2 linked regions of the Lonchura striata genome follow. The protein of the gene in region 2 interacts with the protein of the main gene of each other region in a biochemical or structural test. Links are inferred from orthologs where the notes say so. Each region holds a gene or a part of one and is shown on either strand. Other genes may lie near its edges.

Evidence for each region.
Region 1: the proteins of ATF3 (region 2) and JUND form a complex in vitro, tested with the Homo sapiens proteins (2 studies listed by BioGRID and IntAct, with this or other methods). The link is inferred for Lonchura striata from reciprocal best matches to the Homo sapiens genes ATF3 and JUND.

The regions. Positions count from the first base shown.
Region 1 is NC_134630.1:7,010,563-7,017,101, reverse strand, and holds JUND (transcription factor JunD), read left to right. Parts: upstream 1-4,516; 5' UTR 4,517-4,558; coding exon 4,559-5,503; 3' UTR 5,504-6,021; downstream 6,022-6,539. Other genes in the region: uncharacterized protein LOC110478460, read left to right, coding at 6,161-6,288, 6,517-6,539. UniProt on the Homo sapiens protein: Transcription factor binding AP-1 sites.
Region 2 is NC_134605.1:11,855,284-11,862,972, reverse strand, and holds the start of ATF3 (cyclic AMP-dependent transcription factor ATF-3), read left to right. Parts: upstream 1-4,680; 5' UTR 4,681-4,854; intron 4,855-7,689.

The sequences.
Region 1 (6,539 bases), on a different chromosome or scaffold from region 2:
TGATCCCAGCTGAGCACACGGGGGGAAGAAACAGCTCTGGGTGTGCCTCAATTCTCCCCCCTGGATGGATGAAACAGCTGCATTTTGGGGGGGAAAACTGATTTTGTGACTTGTTTTGAGCAGGTTTGGGGTTTGTACAACTGGTTCTCATGGTGGAGCCTCTGCCATCGCCACTGTACTGAAATGGAGTGAAGAACATGCTTTTATAGACTTATTTTTTTAATGTTTCTAGAACTGGGTGCAGTGGTGAGTGAGAATAAATCTCCAGCCTCTTCCAGCCGCCTCCCTCTGTGTGTCTGTGATGCTGCCGGGCCCTGCCCGACCCGGAGCCCTTCCCTGAGCCCTGGGATCAGGGAAAAAACCCTGAACATTCCATTTCCAGCACCGGCCACGTCTTCTCCGTGGGGCTGCTCATCCCAGGGAGCCAATTCCAGGGGATGGGGTGATGTGTCCTCCCTCCTGGAAAACTCCTGTGGCATTTTAACAAAGCCCAGGCTGTGTCAGACTTTCCCTTCCCGACCTGCTCCCTCCCTTGGGATCCCTCCAGCCACAGAGGCTCCGTGTGCTGTGGCTTCCCTGCTGGAAAGGGAAACAGCTCCAGCCCTGCTGGGATTTAAGGTCTTTTCTGGCAGGAGAAATCCCGACTGCAACAATGGGACCTTTGGCTCCAGCTCGGGGTAGAGTCCTCCAAGTGCTCCTTATCTCCTGGGGTCAGGTGATGGAGCTCGTTAAGTTCTGCATTTGTTTAATTACACCACGGGCTTTAGCAGCATTCCCTGCCTGCTTCCCCCTTTTCCTTTTTCCACCTCTGCAGGGATATTTTTGTCCCCCCGCAAAGGGCAGCTGGGTGGCAGGTGGCTCCGTGGAAGGGCGCTGATGTGACGCTCAGCTGTCACTTCGGGCTTTTCTGCCCCAAAAATGAACATCTGGGGCTGTCACTGCCCTGTGGCAGCGCAGGCAGGCTAAAAACAACAACGAAAAAAAAAAAATATTAGAACAGGGAGGAGCGAGATAAAAGCAACAAGCAGAGAGGAGGAAGAAAAGTCTGAGCCTGGCTGCCGGCGTGGGTGGGCGCAGAGCCTGGGCATGGAAAGACCCAGCAAAGGCCGCCCTGGAAACCCTTCCCAGGATATTTTGGTGGCAGTGGAGCTGGTGGCAGCCCCGGGTTTGTGTCTCTGACCGCCCCACGGTGACTCAGAACTTCTGAGCCTCGCCGAGGAGGCAGCACAGGAATAGTTACACACCAGCGACGCGGAGGGAGTGGCTGCCGAAATACTTCAGGGCTGTGCTAAGCAACTAAAAATACACGTCAAACCCTCCTCCTCCTCCTCCTTTTTCCTTTTTAAATCTGTTTTCTTTCTCTCTTTATTTCTTTTTTTTTTTTTTTTTTTTTTTTTAATTCTTGTTTTTGCCTGTCGGGGGCCCCTGGGAGTTCCTCGGGGACAGGGGCAGGTTTGGGGACAGGCACTGGCAGCTGTGACTTCTTGTTTTCCCAGCTCGGTTCCTCTCTCCCTGCCTGTGGCAGTGACTAAGAGGCAGCTTCCCCTGCGTGCCCGGCGAATCTCGGGGTGCAAACCCTGCTGCTTCCCTTTTCCACGAGGAGCTTGGCACGTGGATGCACCCCACGGGCACCTTGTGTCCAGCCCACGTTCTCGGTGTCCGGAGGATCAGCCACTGGTGTCGCGGAGCTGGTGGCACTCAGGGGACAGCCCTGGTGGCACCGCTGGGGACATCAGGAGCCCTGAGGATGCTCTGGTGGCCATGGCCTCGCTCGAGGCTCGTCGTGGCGCCTCGCCCGTGGCACGGGCTCATCCCAAATCCTCGCCGCCCGCTCCGGGATAAATCCAGCCCGGTGGCAGGACACCGTGACTCAGTGGGGCTGAGCCGGGAACGGCGGCTTTGGCCACCCCGCCGTGGGGACGGTGGCACTGCCACCCGTGACCTCCCCACGGCGGAAGGGGTCACTGATTCACGCCCCTCATTAAAAGCTCATTAAGGAGACGAAGCCGCTGGCTCGCCGCAGGCGTGGGGTTCTTGCTTTGGGGACCAAGGGACGCGCAGGATGAGCAGCAGTGGTGGCAGGCTGGCAGAGCGGGTGGGGGGACGCAGCGGGACGAGCCCCGGGGTGCTGCCACGCCGTGCCGGTGGCTCGTGGGTCACATCCCTGCCCGCTGGCCAGCCGTTCTTCCCGGGATGCCCGGGAAGACCGGCTGGCTGCTCCTTGGGACGACCAAAAGCACCGCCAGCCAAGGATTCTGCTCGCCCATGTGGGTACCCCCGTGCCCATGTGGGTACCCCCGTGCCCATGTGGGTACCCCGGTGCCCATGGGGTGCCCCCGAGCCGGGCTGGGACCGGGGGGAAGGGGAGGTTTTTTACCTCCCTGTCCCTCGCCCGCCGGGTTTGGTCGGGATGGAAAGTCTGAACCTGCCGGTCCGGCCGCGGCCGCGCCCCTAATGAGGGGTTTGGAACGGAAACGCGGACGGCGGCGGCTTCACCGGGGAGCCCCCGGGACACCGGGCCTGGCACCTGCGTCGGGACAGGGGGGGACGCGGAGCTGTGTCCGCGCTGCTCCAGCTGAGGATTAATAAACCGCGTTGATTCGGGCTTTAATTAACAGTGATGGCAGTCGTGCCTCAGTTTCCCCGGTGCCAGCGCTGTGTGGAGCGCTGCCGCAGCCCCGTCCTGGCTGTCACCCGTGTCCCTGTACCGTGCCGTGCCGTGCCGTGCCCACGGGACGGACACACCGGGGCGGGAGCTCGTGGCACCGGGAGAACCGGGGGTGGGGGACGGGACTGACACCGCGGATTTATCGCTCTCGTTAGGCGGGCGAGCATCTGGCCGCAATCAGCGCCGGCTCAACGTCAGCCGCCCCGGTGTCCCGGTGTCCCGGGCGGCGCGGGGGCCGCATCCTGCCCGGTGTGGGGGGTTATCGGCGGCCACCGGCGCTGCCTCCCCCCGCGCCGGTGATGACGCCAAGCGCTGACGCCGATCCGCCCCCTCAGCCGCCCGCGGGCTTGGCCGGCCGTGACGTCTGCCGCCGCCACCGCCGTTAACTCCTTCCCCGGTGCCGCCCGGTGTGACCGTGCCGGGACGGTGTAACCCCCGCCCCGGTGAGCCGCGGCTGGCCGTAGGAGCGGCTGTTCCCCGGGGAAACCCCGGTGCCACCGTGACAAACGGCGCGGCGGTGGCACGGCACGGAGGACACGCGGTGGCACGGGGGACACGCGGTGGCACGGGGGACACGCGGGACCGGCGGCTGTGTCCACTGCCCTGTCCCGGTGTGACCCTCACCGGTGGTGGCCCGGCTGTCCCCAGGGGTTCCCGTGCGGCCCCGTGCCGGTGCCTGGCCCCGTGCGTTTATTTATTTATTTATTTATTTATTTATTTCTGTGTCGTGCCCTTTGTACAGCCGGGGCCCAGCTCGGTGCCAGTGCCCGGTGGCCGGTTCCCGTGCCCGCTCCCAGTCCCGATTCTCAGTAGCCAATTTCCATGCCCGGTTCCCATTCCCATTCCCGGTGCCTGGTTCCCGGTGCCCAGTTCCCAGGTGCCCTGTGCTGTTCCCGCGCCCGGCTCCCGGTGTCCCATGCCCGGTGTCCCGTGCCCTGTGCCCAGTCCCCGTGCCCGGTTCCCGGTGTCCCGTGCCCTGTGCCTGGTCCCCGTGCCCGGTTCCCGGTCCCCGGTGTCCCATGCCCAGTTCCTGGTGCCCTGTGTCCCGTGCCCGGTTCCCGTGTCCCGAGCCCGGTTCCCGGTGTCCCATACCCGGTTCCCGTGTCCCATACCCGGTGTCCCGTGCCCGGTTCCCGTGCCCGGTTCCCGGTGTCCCATGCCCAGTTCCCATGTCCGGTTCCCGGTGTCCCGTGCCCGGTTCCCATGCCCGGTTCCCGTGTCCCGTTCCCGTGCCCCGTTCCCATGCCCGGTTCCCGGTGTCCCGTGCCCAGTTCCCGTCCCCGTGCCCGGTGTCCCGTGTCCCGTTCCCGTGCCCCGTTCCCATGCCCTGTTCCCGTGTCCCGTGCCCGGTGTCCCGTGCCCAGTTCCCGTCCCCTGTTCCCGTGTCCCGTGCCCGGTGTCCCATGCCCGGTTCCCGGTTCCCGGTTCCCGCCCCTCCCTTTGTGCCCATCAGCCCCGGCGGGGCGCGCGCCGCGGGGGCCACGTGCCCGCCCCTCCCCCGCGCTGACGTCATCCCAGGGCCCCGCGCGCTGTTGTCCCGTTTACCGCCGGTCGCCGCGGCGACGGCCGAGGGGGCGTGGCCGGGAACGGGGCGTGGCCTCCCCGCCCCGCGGAGGCGGTGCCACGCCCCGTATGCAAACGAGGGCGGGCGAGGACGTCATCTGCAGCCAATGGGGGCTCGGCGCGGTGAGGTCACCGCGGCGGGGCCGCCTATTTAAGGCGGCGCGGGGCGCGCGGCGGCGGCAGAGCCGTGTGCGCGCGCGCAGCAGCGGGGCCGCGGCCGGTGCGCACCGGGCGCCTCCCCCGCCCCCCCCTCCCGCCCCGCGCTCGCCCCGGTCCTTCCCCCCCCGCCCCGGCGCCGTTTCCCCCGCAGCCGGGCGGGGGAGGAGGATGGAAACACCCTTCTACCATGATGATGTGTTGAGCGGCCTCGGCAGCGGCTTCGCCCCGTCCTCCGGCAGCAGCGGGCTCCTCCTGCCTTTCCCCGGCGGCAGCATGATGAAGAAGGACGCGCTCGGGATGGCCTTACCGGAACAGGTGGCGGCGGCGCTGAAAGCCCCCGGCGCGGCCAGCGGCGAGGCGGCGGGGCTGCTGGGCTCGGCCGAGCTGGGGCTGCTGAAGCTGGCGTCGCCGGAGCTGGAGCGGCTCATCATCCAGTCCAACGGGCTGGTCACCACCACCCCGACCAGCGGCCAGTTCCTCTACCCGAAAGCGGCCGCCTCCGAGGAGCAGGAGTTCGCCGAGGGTTTCGTCAAGGCGCTGGAGGACTTGCACAAGCAGAACCAGCTGGGCGGCGGCGCGGCGGGGAGCGGCGGCGGCGCGGGCGGCGGCGGCGGGGGAGGAAGCGGCGGCGCGGGCGAGCTGCCCGCCGCCGGGATGGCCCCGGAGCCGCCGGTGTACGCCAACCTCAGCACCTACCCGGCCGTCAGCTACGCCGCCGATCCCGGCCCGTTCGCCGCGCCGCCGCCGCGGCTGCCTCCGCCGCCGCCCCCGCCGCCGCTGAAGGACGAGCCGCAGATCGTGCCGGAGGTGCCGAGCTTCGGGGAGAGCCCCCCGCTGTCCCCCATCGACATGGACACGCAGGAGCGCATCAAGGCGGAACGGAAGCGGCTGAGGAACCGCATCGCCGCCTCCAAGTGCCGCAAGAGGAAGCTGGAGCGGATCTCCCGGCTGGAGGAGAAGGTGAAGAGCCTCAAGAGCCAGAACACGGAGCTCGCCTCCACCGCCAGCCTGCTCCGCGAGCAGGTCGCCCAGCTCAAGCAGAAGGTGCTGAGCCACGTCAACAGCGGCTGCCAGCTCCTGCCCCAGCACCAGCACCAGGTGCCGGCGTACTGACCCCGGGCGGGCCCGAGCCCGGGCACGGACCGAGGGGTCCCGGGCAAGGAGCCGGGGGAGCGCCCGCCCTGCCCCGGGCGTGGACCGAGGGGAACGGGGGGGAGCGCTCACCTCGCCCCGGGAACGGACCGAGGGGTCCCGGGCACGGACTGAGCGGAGCGGGGGAGAAGCGCCCGCCCTGCCCCGGGCATGGACCGAGGGTCCCGGGCACGGAGCGGGGGAAGCGCCCGCCTTGCCCCGGGCATGGACCGAGGGTCCCGGACTGCGGGGTCCCGAGGGGAGGAAGAAGAGCGATGATCGCCCCCCTCCTCCATCTCCCCGGACACGGACTGAGGGGTCTGAGGGGAGGACCGGCACCGGACCGCGGGCACCGAGCGCTCCCCGCGGACGGAGCGGCGGCGGGTGGGGGGGGTTCCCCGCCGCGCACGGACTGAGAGGGGCCCGGGCCGCCCCCCCCGGGCCCCTCCGCGCCCCACACATTCCAGTGAGGTCCCAGTAAAACCCCGCGACACGGAGAATTGGCCTCTCGCTGTTTGCTGCGCCCGGGAGGGACGGGAAGGGAAGGGGCGGCGCGGGCAGGAAGCGGCGCGGCCGGGTGCCATTTTGGGGTGGGGGGGGGAACGGCGACCGGGGGGGTTTGGGGAGTTTTGGGGGGCGATGGGGAGGGGGGGTGAGGACCCTCCATGGCTGGCAAAGAGGCTCTGGGAGTCCCTGGAGAGGGTGGAGGGCGAGGGGGTCCACGGGGTTGTGGTTAGTGGGGAGGGGGATGTTGTGGGGAGGGGGCGGTGAAAGGTTGGGGTGTCGCGGGGGCTGTGGGGTTATTTGGGCTCTCTTGGGGGGGGGGGAATATGGGCATATTTGGGCTCCCCTGGGGCTGAGGGGGTCCCCATGGGTGAGGAGGTGGGCGAGGGGACCCCAGGGCTGGTCCTGGCTGTGGCTCTGCCCTGCCAGACCCTCTCCGTTTTTTTTTTGGGGGGGGAGGTCACCACCACCCCCCCTGTCCTGGCCCCCAGGGTCACCCCCATGCACCCAGCGA
Region 2 (7,689 bases):
GGAACTTTAATTTAGTAAAGTTGCACTAAAATTCATAATAATGTTGTGCCCCAGAATCTGGTCCTGAAATATACATGTTGCTTACCCAGCGGTAATTTTGTTATCAGTGCCTTCATCTCATTAAAGGAGAAGCAAAAATGAAAATGAAAGAAATCAAAAGAGAAATTTAAAATTATTTAAATTTAGAAAGCTTCCAAGCAGAACCAGAAGGATCAATGGGAGAAAAGTTTCTAGGAAAAAAGGAACAGAAAAAAGGGGAATGATGAAATCCAAGGATACAGGGAGGGAAAAGAGAGAAGTGAGAAGAGTAGAAACAGGGAAGTGGCAAAATAAAAGGAGAAGCTGCTGTTTTAAAGAAATGGGAAATGTAACTTAAGAAACAAAGCAAAAGAGAGCAGGGAATAGGATTTTTAAAGGAGAGAATAAATTAAGAGTAAATGGCTATTGATGGAGAAGGCAGTAAGGAAAGAAAGATAAGCTGTGGAGAGAAAAACAAAGAGCAAAATAATTTTATCTTCAGTGTTAAAGAATAAAAGCTGTTAAAACACAGCACCTATTTCCCTCCACAATACATATATTTATCTGTTCATCTGCTTGAGAGGTATTAAATATAAGAGAGTGGCAGCGTTTGCCATACAGTCTCAGTGAAAGTCAGTTTTCTAACCCTGTGGTTTTAACTTCCATTTTTGGACCTTTTCAGTCCATAGAGATCCAGCTCTTCCAGAGTGAATTTTGCCCTTGCTCCTGTAGGCTTGGATGTTTTTTATTCCCTTTTTGGAGAAACCTATGGAAGTAGCCCACAGATGCTCAAAGAGTCCCCAGACAGCTGCTGAAAAACTCTGGGCAGGGTGAAGGTGGCTGATGCTGCTTCTGCTGCTGATTGCTCCCATAGTTCCAGCAGTAACAACCTACATGCTGGAAAAACTAGTCCCGAGTTTCACCCCTGGTGTTTGTACAGTGAGATGGGAAAATTATCTCAAAATTCCTGCATGTTTTGGTGAACAGAGGAGTCCTGCCACATAGATTCAGACCTGAATGTAACACATAGCAAAAATGATTATGAAGGTTAGTTCCCATCACAGAAGTAGAGAGTAATATTTCAGGCAGAGTCAGAAAACCTGATTTTGTGCAGATTTTACCACATGATAACTCTGAATTATGGAAATCTGTTTCTCTTATATGTGCTGTGCATTGAAAGTTTTGTCTTGTCAGGGTTACAGTAATTTCAAAACTTTATACAATTCAAACCACAAAACACACAGAGAGGCAGTTTTTACTCATGTTATCACTACACATTTGATTTATTTAAATCTCATTATATTTTCATCAGACTGAACAGGTTTAATGGAACTGTGTGACCAGAAATTAGCACATGATCTGGATGGGACATGGAGATTTTTTTTGTGTTGCTCTGACTGATGTCCTGCAGTAGCATAAATGTTAGGACAAGAGAAAGTTTGTGCTGTGAGACTGGGGGTCTGTTCCTCTGTATGTCTGTAGCTCTTTTTAATAATGAGACAGCCATATTTTAATTTTAATCCAATATCCACAGTGTGTGAAGTAGTGCCAAGTGATATGGAGGCAGGACTTGGTCAGAAAGAGATAAAGGAAAGAATTCTTTTCTGCACACTGGAGATTGCTGGAGGGCTGCAAGGACCACGCCAGAGGTGGTATTCAGCCTGATTTCTCTGCAGAGGGAAAAGAACCCAGTACACACCAGTCTGAGTGATGAGCTGCTGTACCTGGCTTAAGAGAAACAGCAGTTAAGATCGTGGATGTTACCTCTGTCAAAAAAATGCTGTTTCAGGGGATATGTCCCCTGCAGTTTGTGATGAAAGAGAGACATGGATTGGAAAAGGACCGGTAAATGTTCATGGGGAGGCAAATGAAAGATATTTTATGAGATGGAAAATTAAACTGGCAAGAACATCAGAGTATCTGGTGGCTGTACTGGGTGTTACTTTAACTTCCTGATAGTCTTAAATTTTACTTTTTTTTTTTTTTTTTTTTTTTAACTGGGGTATGATCCAACTGAGATTAGCTTAACTTTGGTTTCAAAAGGAATCTGGATAAAACCTATACAACACAGTGGAGCTGGGTTTATTTTTCACTGTGGTTTCATTTTCTTTTTTCACTGAAGACTCAAGCCAGGACATGTTTCAGTGGCCTAATCTCAAATGCGCACAGGAACATTTCTCTGTTTGCTTTGCAGGGAGGAGCTGGCTCACTTCAGGACAAGTTCAAGAATGAACACAACTGGTTTGATGTCAGATTTTAGTGCTGGCTGCAGCTCATGGGAAGTAATGGGACCAGCATTGTGTAGCAAACAAGTAGATGCCAGTGACCATCCACAACTGGATAACAATGCTTGGATTTCCAAGGTACTTCTACCCACACGGAAGGGGAGAACTGCTTTTTTTTTTTTTCCATTATTCTGCAACACTGCTCTGTTTAGCTGAAAATACTTTAAATACATTCCCACTTCTGATACAGCTGCCTAAATAAATAAGGACAGACAGTTGATAAATTTCTGTCATAATTGCAGCAGACACCTGTTCTTGGCCACTAAAACCAATGTTGTTAACACATTTCCACAGTGCTTAAAATTTTCCAACCAACTATCTTTTGGGAAGAAATTTTCCACATTTGGCTTCTGCTTGAGAGGAATTTTTTTTTCTTCTAGGCTTGAGAAAAAGTGCCAGCTGTCCTTGAGCACAGCATGAATTATAAAATTGTGCCTCTGAAGTAAAAAGAACTTATTAGGCTGTAACAAGGTGAACTGAAAAGCTTTCTCTAGACCCTTCTGAAAGTTTTTGCCTGGCATTATACTTGACATTGATTTATCTAGATTAATAAAAATGCAGCAATAACTATGTTTTGATAGAGCTAAGAATGATTTCTCTATAGGTGAGTGAAAAAGAAAAAAAGCTTGCAGCTCACAGGAGCTGTAAATGGAGTGCTGCCAGGTAGGTCAGAGGAGTTCACTGCTGCCCTGACAAAATGCACTTCTTTGTTTGCAGAGAACAGGCTGCGACTGCACCTTCCACAGGAGGGAAGCCCACGTCACTACCCCAGACTCCTTCCTTTCCCATCAGATCAGGATTTTTCTTTCAAGAGCAGGCAACTAAATGCGGAATAGGAGTGTTAATTTTGCAAAGTTACTGGCACTTGGACATTAAAAAAAACTAAATTTATTACTCCAGACTATGTGGCCAATATTATATCTATCTATATCTATATCATCTATATCTATATCTATATCTATATCATCTATATCTATATCAATCATCTATATCTATATATATATCTATATCATCTATCTTTCTATATATATATACACACACATATATATATCCAGACCATCACAAGCACACAGAAGGGAGATACAGAAGGACTTTCAAACTACTAGTCTCTATTCTACTAATTCTGTAAACTACTATTCTACTACTAATTTGTATTCTTCACAAAATGCTCCAAGTAATAAAAATATACCAGAATATACCACTCAAGACTTATTACCTATTATCAAAACTGATATATTGAACATTATAAAATTAATCAACAATTTGGAGCACTTGATTGGGATATGCATCTTATATATTAAGGTATCCATTTCATGTTGGTTTACTTACAATACAATGTACTCAAGCATGAAATGTCCTGGTCTTTTCAAGTCAAGTGCAGAGGCTTGAAGACTGGCTTAATAACAAGTTTGCATATATTATATATTAATTATTATAGTACTGGATGATTGCATGCATTTGTCTTTGTAAGCTTTCTGTGTCTCCCCCAGCTAAATGTTTTCTTTGATGTTTTGGTTTTTGTTTTGGATTTTTTTTGTTTGTTTTTTAAACATCATATTTTCTAGCACTTTGAAGGCTGTTAGAAGGTAATTTCTGTCTGTTAACAAACCAGAGGGGGAAAAAAAAGAACTAAACAAAAACCCCTTTACCACAGCCACAACTGTATTTCCCTCTCTGCTGTAGGAATTCCCTGGTTTTTCATGAGATTATAAGGAAATCGCATGCTGCTGTGTTTTAAGAAAAGTTTTAAAAAATACCCTAACAAAACAAACAAAACCCCCAAACAGTGTTATTTTTAGCTGTCTATAATTTTATTAATTTACTCTTCTCAGAGTAAAAACGAAGCTTTCTCCTTTATGTGAACGGAACTTTTAGCTGTCATCTAAAGTAGCGAGGGGAGGAGGAGGGAGAATGAGAGAAACCGGGGAGTGGGGGGGGGTCATGAACAGTTTTTTTTCCTCTAGAGAAAGGTCAGTCCCTTCGAAAAATACACAATTACCAGTTTTTTTTGTTTGTTTTTTTTTTTTTTTTTTTTTTTTTTTTTTTTTTTTTTTGTCGCTAGAGGGACTTTGATTTATTGTCAGAAGTAAAATAGCCCGGAGAAAGAAACTCTCGGAGTCTTAATAGAAATAAATAAATAAATGACGGGGAGAACGGTGGAGACGGAAGGAGAAGGGGTCTGTCGGGGTGCCGAGGGATGCTGCTCGGCCCGGCTCGGCTCGGCGCGGTGGTGGTGTCGTTCCGTGCCGTGCCGTGCCGTGCCGTGCCGTGCCGGCGGGGAAGCCTTGCATCACCGCCACGGCCCGCTTCCCTCCTCCCTCTCTTTCGGAGAGGCTATTAATAGCATGACATCAGCCAGGGACTCGCCGCCAGAGTAAATACCAGCGCTGCCCGCTCGGCTATAAAAGGGGGGTGATGCAACCCGGGCGAGCGGCAGAGGCGCGGGGAGCCGAGGGAGCCGCTCCCGCGGGAGGCGGCGGAGCAGCGCGGGCGCGGCGGGGCTGCGGAGCCCCTTCCCTCCTGCCCGGACGGCGGCGGCGGCGGCAGGAAGGTAGGTGGGAGCAGGAGAGGAGCGGCCGGGACTGCCCGTGCCGGCGGGACGAGGGGCTGAGCTCCGGGAGGGCTGTCCCGCCGCGGAGGGATGGATGCCCGCCGGGGGACCCGCGCTGCTTCGCCGGAAAAAAGTTTCGCCGCCCCGGGCGAAGTCGGGCGCGGTGGTTCCGCCGCCGGCCGTGAGCTCCGGGAGAGCCCCCGGCCCCGCCGAGCTCCGCCGGAGCCCCTCGGTGCCGTGCCGGCGCTCACATCTGGGGGAACCCCTGCCCGGGCTGCCGCCAGATGTGAGCGCCGGGGGTGCCCGGCCAGCCCCGGTGTCCCCGGGCCGGCAGCGCCGCTCGGCACCGCGCGGTGGCGGCCGCGGCGGGCACGGTCCCGGCTCCCGGGAGCCGCGGGATGCCCGAGCGGAGCGGCCGCGCCCGGCGCTGCGGGCGGCCGGCGGCGGCACCGCGGGCACCGGGACGGGGAGATGCGGCGGGACAGCCCAGGCGGCGACAAACCGGCGCTGCCGCGCGTAGAGTCGTCGCTGATGTTCCCGTAAACCGACCGGGAACTTCTGGTGACAGCCGGGGGATACCAACTCTCCTTGCTGTCCCGGTGTCTTGACGTGAAGTAGATCAGTTGCTGAACTGTTGCCTAAGCAAATCAGGCGTGACACAACGGACGGCTTCTTTCAGAGAATGAGTTTCCTGGTGGAAATCGATTTTCCTCCTGGTAACAACATTTGAGAAGCTGGAAGGCAGCAGAAAATGGTTTGGGAGCGATGTGCGATGTCAGAAAGCTTAAGGTCAACTAGCGTGCACAGAGGTTGTGAACTGTAATTGCTCTTAAGGCTGTTTAAGATTAACCTCAGTGGTTATCAAGGTTTATTGCATCAGCACCAGAGGAAAAGGAATTTGTATGAAGAAATAAAACCAAGAAACATAGTCAGCCATCTGCTGTTAAGCAAGAAAAAACTGAAAGTAGTCACTTTCAATATTAAAATTAAGCAAGCATATACTTAATTAATGGAAGTGCACGGCTAGGAAGCCTGTTTGGATTTTAAAATCTTGGCAGATGAGATGTAAAAAGTCATTGCAGATTAAAAGAATCATCTTTAAAACAACAAACAAAAAGCAGGGGGAGAACGAATGAATAGAGTTGTTTGAACCTACCTGAATTGGGAGGTTTACTATTCATATTGCCACGAATAGTAAAACTGTTGAGAATTTCAAAAGTAAGGCTAAAGCACTGAAGCATTAACTCAGCCCGGGAACAAGCTGAGCCGGCAGCAGTGCAGGGCTGAGAAGTGTTCAGCACCTCCAGTGGCAGTAACTGCAGAACATGTGCGTGGTCTAACACAGTAAACAGAGATTGTATCAGAAAGGCCACGACGGAATCACACTCTAAGGCTTGATATTCTTATTCCTACTGTTTCCCCAGCCTTCGCAAAGCCAGAGGAAATGAGATAGTGCTCTGCATGGCCTTTGGACAGAGGGACAATTTGTACAAAAGCTGGGACAAGGAAGGGCAACTTGTTGCATTTTTTTTTTTTTAATAGTAAAATTGAATTTTCCTATTTGTAAAACATTTCTGAAAACAGATTTGTTCCCCAGAAACTGTAAAGCATCTACCTTCCTGGAGCAATTAGAGGTGCATTTCAGGATGATTGGGAAGGCAGTGAGCTGTCCGGGCAGGAGAGCAGCAAATTCCTAGGGTCAAGGACACTTTCTCCTGCTCTGGACACCTGACCACTCCTTTTTTGCACACTAATGACAGGTGGGTGAGAGAACCTGAAGCCATTATAGTAGGGTTTTGGTGGTGTTTGGGGTACACTTACACTAACTACTAGAAATCCACAATTAACACAATTTCTCAGGCACATTCTTGGTTTCCTCTGGTGCTGCTGCTGACCTTAATTAAAAGTTCACCTAAAATGAAAAATAATTGAATAAAGCAGCAGAGCTTGAAAATTATTAGCCCAACTAATTATTTGGGAGGTTGGAAAAACAGTTTTACTGTTACTTTAAGACTCCTGGATGGATTGAATTGTACAGAATTAACTTTGTTGAATGAAGCCATCACCAGCATTCAAGTACACTGAGTCAGTGAAAATAACTGAAATTTCTGCTGGCAGTGAGGGGTTCAGTGTCATCTGGAATTAGCCTGTTTAAAAATTAATTGAATGGTTGAATGTTGGCAAATGGCAAATAATACTGGGAGGGCTTCAGCTGGAAATTAATAGGGCCATTTCTGACTTGCTGGGAAAGAGTAACTGCTAGCTTTCTGAGATTATAGGATTAAACTGTATCAGTACTTTAAATGTGACTCATGAGCAGGGGCTTTCTGAAGAGAATTACATAAATTTCCCAAGGTCTTTCTGAATAACAAATTGTTCCAAATAATTTCCCCATCTTGAATAACTATGGGTGAAATCCTGGCCCCATTGAGGTCAACAGAAAAAGTCCTATTGATTTCACTGGGGCCAGGATTTCACCCTGAGACTCTGGGAAATGTTCAGCTCTTCCGTGGTGGCTGGGTGAGGAAGAAGTGAGGAAGACTGCAATAGGACCTGATACTTTCCAGCAACAGGCAGTTAATTCACTCTGCTCTGGTTTTTGTGTTTGGCTCAGCGATCAACCAGGTTCTATTCTCATTTGCACCAGTGTGGATTTACAGTGTATTTTTAGATATCTCCAAGCAAATTCTATCTTCTTCTCAGGGCACGTGACCCCAACATTTCTTGCTGGGTTCCAGAAGTAACGTACAGGGACCTGTGCAGTTCTAAGTTGATCATGTGGAAATTTAGCTTACCCACACTGCTACCCTGAGGCAGCTGTTTGCTTACCTGCAC